2 linked regions of the Macaca mulatta genome follow. The protein of the gene in region 1 purifies or fractionates together with the protein of each later gene. This does not show direct contact. Links are inferred from orthologs where the notes say so. Each region holds a gene or a part of one and is shown on either strand. Other genes may lie near its edges.

What was found. Proteins that work in one complex are often made in the same cells at the same time.
Region 2: the proteins of HAUS5 (region 1) and HAUS2 purify together in Homo sapiens (affinity purification with mass spectrometry; 5 studies listed by BioGRID and IntAct, with this or other methods). This does not show direct contact. The link is inferred for Macaca mulatta from reciprocal best matches to the Homo sapiens genes HAUS5 and HAUS2.

Annotation. Positions count from the first base shown.
Region 1 is NC_133424.1:46,872,878-46,876,890, reverse strand, and holds the start of HAUS5 (HAUS augmin-like complex subunit 5), read right to left. Parts: upstream 2,820-4,013; 5' UTR 2,739-2,819; coding exon 2,641-2,738; intron 1,784-2,640; coding exon 1,721-1,783; exon of another isoform or gene 1,676-1,720; intron 1,646-1,675; coding exon 1,613-1,645; exon of another isoform or gene 1,597-1,612; intron 1,482-1,596; coding exon 1,457-1,481; intron 597-1,456; exon of another isoform or gene 547-596; coding exon 441-546; intron 362-440; coding exon 202-361; intron 1-201.
Region 2 is NC_133412.1:19,954,439-19,958,542, forward strand, and holds the start of HAUS2 (HAUS augmin-like complex subunit 2), read left to right. Parts: upstream 1-1,264; 5' UTR 1,265-1,299; coding exon 1,300-1,392; exon of another isoform or gene 1,393-1,447; coding exon of another isoform or gene 1,448-1,453; intron 1,454-4,104. Other genes in the region: LRRC57 (leucine-rich repeat-containing protein 57), read right to left, coding at 546-684, 791-874.

The DNA.
Region 1 (4,013 bases):
GTTCTAGGTATACAGCTGTTATTCTAGGCACTGGAAATATAAGTGACTGAGATGACAAAACCTCCTGGCCTCATGGACCTTCCATCCTAATGGTGGGAGTTGAGAATTCTGGAACCCAAGAAGGGATCGGGGCAGAGCCCTGAGGTCTCTAAGAGAATGTCTGGCTGCCCAGCCTGGTGAGGGTGGGTCCCTGAGGCCCACCTCTCCATGTCCTGCAGGCGCCTCAGTTGATTCTGCAGCCGCTGCATGGGATCTCGGAGCCTATGCTGCTGTCTTCGCATGGCCCCAGCTTGGGCCCGGAGGAGGAGAGCTCGACGCTGGGTGTCTTGAGTGTGCTGAAGTGCCTGCTCCATGGCTGTGTCTGTAGGAGGAACAAGGGTGGCCATCAGCACCTTTCCCGGCCCACATTCTGTTGCCCATTTTCTGGCCCCATGGCTCACCCTGAGCCTCAGTGTCTCGCTCCATCAGCTCCAGGCTCTGGTCGAGCTCCTGGATTTCTGCCCGCAGGCGGGTCACGGTAGCTTCCAGCTCTAACTTCCGACGGACCTGGGAGGATCAGATTCAGGGTGAGATGCACGGTCTGATCGGGGTTCAGCCTGGCCTGTCTTTTGGGGGTACCAGGCTCCTCAACTGGTGGCAAAGGGTTTTTGCTCAGCAGTTTCTGTGTCTGATGCAGAAGCATTAGGGTACTGGCTCCCTCCTTCCTCTTAGGATTGTCTTACCCATACTTCCAGCCTGTTTCCTGTTTCCTGTCTGTGCTGATGACAACCACATCTTTGTCCCAGTATTGATCTCTTCCTGGAGCCCTGCACCTAGAAGTCCCAAGGACTCCTGGAAGCCTCCCCTCAGGTGTCATATGAGCCTCTTACACCCACTAGGTCCTACACTGGCCTCAGCATCTCTCCCAAACCTGTCCCTCCATCTCTTCTCAGCAGCTTTGATGCCACATATCCATGTCCCACCTCTCTGCCCCCAGCTAATACTATCTCTTTATATTTTTTTCTTTTTTTGGACAGAGTCTCACTGCATTGCCCAGGCTGGAGTGCAGTGGAGCGATCTCGGCTCACTGCAACCTCTGCCTCCCAGGTTCAAGCAATTCTCCTGCCTCAGCCTCCCAAGTAGACAGGATTACAGGTGTGCACCACCACACCTGGCTAATTTTTTATTTTTAGTAGAGATGGGGCTTCACCATGTTGGACAGGCTGGTCTCGAACTCCTGACCTCAGGTGATCCGCCCGCTTCAGCCTCCCAAAGTGCTGGGATAACAGGTGTAAGCCACTGCTCCCAGCTGAGCTAATGCTATCTCCACTGGACTTTAAGCCCTATGAGGATGGGGATCAGGGCTATCTTGTGACCCATTGTCCCCAGCATCACCCAGCACCTGGTTGGGCTTAGAACAGGAGATCTACAAATCATTTTTCGGATGAAAGAGAATCTTGCAGCATATGCTTCTTACCTGTGGACTGTCCTGGTGGCCATACCTAGGAAAATGAGACCAGAGTCAGTGGATGAGTGGGGCTTCCAGTGGGGAGGGCAACAGGTGTGATGCTGTGGTGAGGACAGGGCTAGATGGGAGTGGGGATAGGAAGGGATAGCTTTAAGAAGCAGTTACCAGAGTAGGTTTCCTCGGATCTTCTTGACAGTCCTACAGTGCAGAGGCAAAAGGAGGAGTTACTACGGACCTCACCTGTGCCCCCTCCCCTACTCTAGCCCAACTTACCTCTGACTGTGCACATGCTGCAAGATGTAGGCCCAGATGTCAGCCCCCTGGCCCAGACACAGCCTGTGGGGACAGTGTGTAAGCGTATGCCTGGGGCAGCACACAGGGTGTGGGATCCTCATTCCCAAGGTGATGGTGGTAGGGAGTCTTTATTAGGGAGTTCTCACTTCTTGGGGAGGGAAGGCCCAAACTTTTTTTTTTTTTTTTTTTTTTTTTTTTAGGGACAGAGTCTCGCTCTGTTGCCCAGGCTGGAGTGCAGTGGTATGATCATAGCTCCCTGCAGCCTTAACCTTCTGGGCTCATGCGATCCTCTCACCTCAGCCTCCAGAACAGCTAGGACTACAGGCAGGCACCACTACACCCGGCTAATTGGTAAAACATTTTTTTTGTAGGGACTGGATCTTTGCACTAAGTATGGTGGTATTCTCATTCCCCGGGAAGGCGGGGGTGGGGGATGGGGGTGGGGGTGGGGGTGAGTGGCGAGGGCTCCCTTTCTCCTGGGAGAGGGTTATCCAGTCACATTCAGAGGTGGAGGTGGGGGATGTACTGCCAGGAAGTGCCATCTCATGGCCAGATGTGGGGCATCACTCCTACAGATTCAATCCCGATGGGGTGGCCACGGCTAACTCCTGAGTGTCCTTTTTGGTTGGGGTAAGGGTGGGAAGGGGAGGTGCTGCGGGGACAGCCTCACCCTGGAGATCCTATTTCCATACGGAGAGGGATCTTCACTAACTCGTGGAGGATTCTCACCAGTGCTAGGGACCTCACTCTGGGAAGCCTCCCAGGGCAGGGAGCCCTCAGTAACTCGGGTCACTTTCGATGGGGAATGGGGGGTCGAGTCCTCAATGAGGGGTGGAGCTCTCACTCCCGGAGACTCAATCTCCAGGGTGGGGAGTCCTCACTCCAGGAGCGGTCCTCACCTGCGCAGCGTCGATTCCCGGGCTCGGGCTGCCACGGGCACCCCCATCTCTTCGGCCGCCCAGCAACTCAGTTCCCGCGCTTCCCGCGCTAGCTCCATGACAGCGCCACAGCTGCGCCACCGCCTCCCTCAGCCTCTTCAAGTGTGGCGCCCGCCTCTGACGCCACGGACGCGCCAACAGGACGTCATCGGTTGCCGGGCAGACAGCGGGCTCCGGCGCTGCGTAGTAACCTTAGCGTGGTAAGGTTGGGTCTTGCAGCGCTCACTCTTCCCAGGTGGGTCTCCTTGAGTGGAAATGAAAAGGGCGTGGAGAGACGGCGGCCCCGCCCGCCTTCCCTCGTTCTCTCGCTCACTACCAGCTAACCCGAAAGAGGCAAAACAGTCCTTGATGCTTCCCTTTATTTTCTTCTTCTTCTTTTAATTAAACATTTTTATTTTAGGCCGGGCTCGGTGGCTCAAGCCTGTAATCCCAGCACTTTGGGAGGCCAAGACGGGCGGATCACAAGGTCAGGAGATCGAGACCATCCTGGCTAACCCGGTGAAACCCCGTCTCTACTAAAAAATACAAAAAACTAGCCGGGCGAGGTGGCGGGCGCCTGTAGTCCCAGCTACTCGGGAGGCTGAGGCAGGAGAATGGCGTGAACCCGGGAGGCGGAGCTTGCAGTGAGCTGAGATCGGGCCACTGCACTCCAGCCTGGGCGGCAGAGCGAGACTCTGTCTCAAAAAAACAAAAACAAAAAAATAACATTTTTATTTTAATAGAGATGGGATCTCACTATGTTGCCCAGGCTAGTCTCAGCTTCTGGGCTGTTGAACTCCTGGGCTAAAGCGATCCTCCCGCCTCAGCCTCCCAAAGTGTTGGGATTACAGGTGTGAGCCACCGTGCCCGCCCCCTTTATTTTGTTGACAAAATGGGACTTGCAGCCTAGGAGGACTGGAACCAGGGAATGAGATCCTGGACTTACTGCTCTTTGATTTCAGAAACAGGTGTCCCATGTCTGAGTGGAGGGTAGGGGCAGATAGTATGACCCTAACATTTCCCTGGCATGCATTTTCCCATTCATTTGTGCTTACCATTCCATAAACTCAGGGAGCTGACTCTGTGCTGGGTGATGCTGGGGACAACATGGTGACCACGACAGCCCTGGTCCCTATTGTACAGAGCTCACAGTTCAGTGGGGAGACAGACACACCACCAGGTAGGGATGGTAAAAATAAGCAGCAGGAGTGGGTCAGTTTGGGACACAGCAGGTGTGAGAGGTCTGCGGGATGCCCAGAAAGCAGTAGGGCTGGAGTTCTGGCGAGCCTGCTGGGCCCCGTCAGAGAGCTGAATGCGCTGTGGGCATCAGTATGAGACCAGAGCAGAGGAAGACG
Region 2 (4,104 bases), on another chromosome or scaffold:
AACCTGAATCTGATAGAGCTGAAAACAACTTTGATGAAGTTTCTAAAGACTATATGGCAGCCTGCTTCGCCTCTTGTTAATATATGTAAAATACCCACATGTGCCATTTTTAGGTATTGCATTTTACCAACATAGTCTTTAGAAGGTGAGGGTGCCATCAAAATGCAGGTGAGCATTTGTGTGTATAATGGACTCCTTTTGTAAAGGGGTCCAAGGCACAATTTGACAGCAATTTTGTGATATTTGGAAGATCCTCCCCTTCCCATCCATCCCCCATTCCAAGTTAGGTAGCTTTGTTTACATTACATCCCCAAAATGTTCTTCCCTTTCAAGTCCAAATTAACCCAGTAACAATCATTATAACACCCAAGGAGGCTTATTTTTGATGTAATTACAAGTAGAAAGAAGGCTTCAAGGATTCCGGCATTCTGCAACTTGAGCCCTCCTGCACGGTTTCATAACGAAAACAAAAATCAGCTTGTAAGAGAAAACCACCCCTGGTAACAGCTTATCACTAGCAAAAGCCTCCCAGGCAAGAGTCATACTCAGTTTGTTGTTGTTCAGGGAGAGGCTCTTCAGCAGAGTGAACTTTCCTATCAGCAAAGGCGGTAGGCTCTCGATCTTGTTGTTGGACAAGTCGATGGTCCTGAGATTGCTCGTGAGCTTCTGCAAGTCTGCGGGGAACTGGAGAAAGGAGTTCACAGCGTGGAGAATCCCGCACCGACTAAGTTCGCTGCCCCCGCCGTCCCTCTCCCTTTAAGTTTCCCGGTCGTGTCCCTCCCATTCTCACCTCGGTCAGCCCTCGGTCCTTAAGCTGAAAGACACCAGTTTTCTGCGCCGTTTCCACATGAGCGCGGAGCGCACTGTTTCCCATCCTAGCACCGCGGCTCAGGTCCCTGCGGGAAGGAAGCGCAGCTGTCACCGCCCAGTCCACTCGGTCGGCCTCCCGCCCCAGCTCTCATCTCCCGCCGATCCCTGGCTCCTGGGGCCCGACCCAAGAGTGGCAAGGAAGAGACGGAAGAACAGACAGCCCGACCACCAAGCCCTGCCGCCTTTGCAGCTCTGCGGAGGCCAGGCGCCTCTGGGAGCCTACGGAAGATCAAGGAACCCCGGACTCGCCTCCCACCGCTCAGCTGCCGGATGGCTCCGCAGGTGAAGACCCAGGACCCGCAGTAGCCGGGATGCGCTCCCCGGCTTAGCCCCGGGCGGGACCGCCCTGTGACGTCATCGAGTCGCGCCGTGCGTTCGCCCTGCGTTCCAACTCACTCTTGGCGCCTTCGTGGGAGGTGAGTCCGAGCCATGGCGGCTGCCAACCCCTGGGACCCGGCGTCCGCGCCTAACGGCGCTGGGCTAGTGCTAGGCCACCTCATAGCTTCGGGGATGGTCAATCAGGTGCGTGGGGGCGGCTGTGGCGTCATCAAGGGGGTGCCCACGATGGCAACAGAATATGGCTGTGAGTTGGTGCTGCTGGCTGTGGGAGTGGTGAGGGTCCTGGTTGGGGTCTGTACTATAGTAATAGATCCCCTTCCAGGCAACAGCCGCGACTGTTCTGCCGTGGGTGCTTGGAAAACGGGGATCTGAGTAGATGGTGTTTAGGGTAGACTGTGTTTTGAGTGTCTGTAGGGTAAATTTGTCCCTGGCCCGTTTGTGGGAGATTAGACTGCTGTTACTGGCCTTTTTTTCATCCAGTGATACTGCCTCCAGACTGTAGTGTAAGGCGGGGATAGGAAATACGGATCGTTACGTCCCCTTGCGGAACAAGCATTACCAACAACGCTCGTTTGTGGGAAGTATTGAATCGTATTTGGGGCGGGAGGTACTGGGTAGAGAAGAGCGCTAGAAGCTCTTTTTTCGTGTTTTTATTTTATTTTTATTTATTTATTTTTTGAGACAGTCTCGCTCTGTCGCCCAGGCTGGAGTGCAGTGGCGCGGTCTCTGCTCACTGCAACCTCTGCCTCCCGGGTTCTAGCGATTCTCCTGCCTCAGTCTCTCGAGTAGGTGGGACTACAGGCGCGTAGCGCCACGCCCAGCTAATTTTTTGTTTGTTTGTTTTAATGTTCAGTAGAGACGAGTTTCACCGTGTTAGCCAGGATGGTCTCGATCTCCTGACCTCGTGATCCACCTGCCTCGGCCTCCCAAAGTGCTGGGATTACAGGCTTGAGTCACCGTGCCAGGCCTTGGCATCTTTACAGGCAAAAAAAAAAAAAAAGTACTGGCTAAAAAGATAAGACCTTGGAACGTGAATGGAGGAAGAGGTTAATTTTGAGAAGGAGAGAAAAGAGACATTAACCCAAGGAGTCACAAAGTGGCAGTTTTAGGTTGGGCAAGAAGAGCATGTCGGGGGAAGGAGCCAATAGAGTGAGAAATTGAACATGTGAGGAAATGATGGAATGCAAGTGACAAAAGGGCATGGGGAAAGTGGGATCAAGGGCATTGAGAAAAATGGGGAAAGAAATTTTGATATATAGAGGAAGTTGAGGAATTTCACTAAAAAGAAAACAGAAAAGTTAAACTGATCTGTAAAAATTAGCACTATATTAGCCGGTGTGGTGGCGTGCACCTGTGGTCCCAGCTACTCCCAGGACCACATGGGTCCCAGAGGCTCAGATGGGAAGATGGCTTGAGCTCAGCAGATGGAGGTTGCAGTGAGACGCGATCGGGCCACTCCACTTAGCCTGGGCAACAGAGTGAGACCTTGTCTCAGAAAAAAAAAAAAAAAGCATTACAAACATGATGGAAGATTTATGGAAATATATAACTTTTTATAGTTAGAAGAGCCATTAGAGACTCTAATACCTTAGAGTATTTTTTAATTTAAGAAACTAAGGCTTAGACCAAGAAACTTGCCCATGGTCACTAGACTGTTGAAGGAGAATTAGATCTTAGCACTCTCCCTTTTGACACATTGTGTCCTCTCTCAAGATGAACTGTTATAAGAGGCTGTGATATTGTCTTGAAAGATTTTAAGCTTTTGTTGAACACCCATTGTCTGGGTGATCAGGAGATTCAGGTGGTCCTAGTTAACTACATTTCCCAGGGGTGGCGACAGCCCTCTACAGTTTAATCCTTCCTCCCTTCTCTCCTGTGTTTTCTTTTTCTTTTCTTTTCTTTATTGTTTTTGAGACGGTGTCTCCCTCTGTTGCCCAGGCTGGAGTGCAGTGGTGTGATCTTGGTTCACTGTACCCTCCGCCACCTGGGTTCAAGCAATTCTCGTGCTCCAGAGTAGCTGGGACTACAGGCACCTGCCATCACGCCTACTAATTTTCATATTTTCAGTAGAGATGGGGTTTCACCATTTTGGCCAGGCTAGTCTCAAACTCCTGACCTCAGGTGATCTGCCTGTCTTGGCCTCCCAAAGTATTTGGATTACAGGCATGAGCCAACGAGCCCAGCCTTTTTCTTATCAGGTTACCTAGTACTCTCACTTGTATTGTCCAGTTCTCCTGTCACAAAATAGTTTGGCAAACTCATAATAGAAAACATTTTTGAGGGCTCATGCCTGTAATCCCAAAGCTTTGGGAGGCCAAGGCGGGTTGATCACCTGAGGTCAGGAGTTTGAGATCAGCCTGGCCAACATGGTGAAACCCAGTCTCTACTAAAAATACAAAAATTAGCCAGGTATGGTGGTAGGTGCCTGTAATCCCAGCTACTCAGGAAGCTGAGACATGAGAATCGCTTGAGCCCTGGAGGTGGAGGTTGCAGTGAGCAAAGATCATGCCACTGCACTCCAACCCGAGTGACACAGTAAGACCCTGTCTCAAACAAAAACAAAAAACCCCCCAACTTTTGGTACTTGGTATCCCTCTAAAGAGCATTGGTAGGAAATACAAATGCCTAAACCAAAGGAGTGAGGCACTGGTGAGAGAATTCTAGGCATTGATGGGTGATCTCTTTTTTGGGGGTGGTGGTTGTCTTGGTGGTGTCTACTGTCTCTCAAGTAACATTAATTGACAGTTACTGGTTTTACCTACAGTTAACATGTCCCACTCTATAGCTCCTTAAGACCTCTGACAACCTTACTACACAGCTAGTCCCAATGAGGGAGCTATTTACAGACTTGTAGGTTGGTTTTACTTTAAGCAAACTTTATACATAAAAACCTTT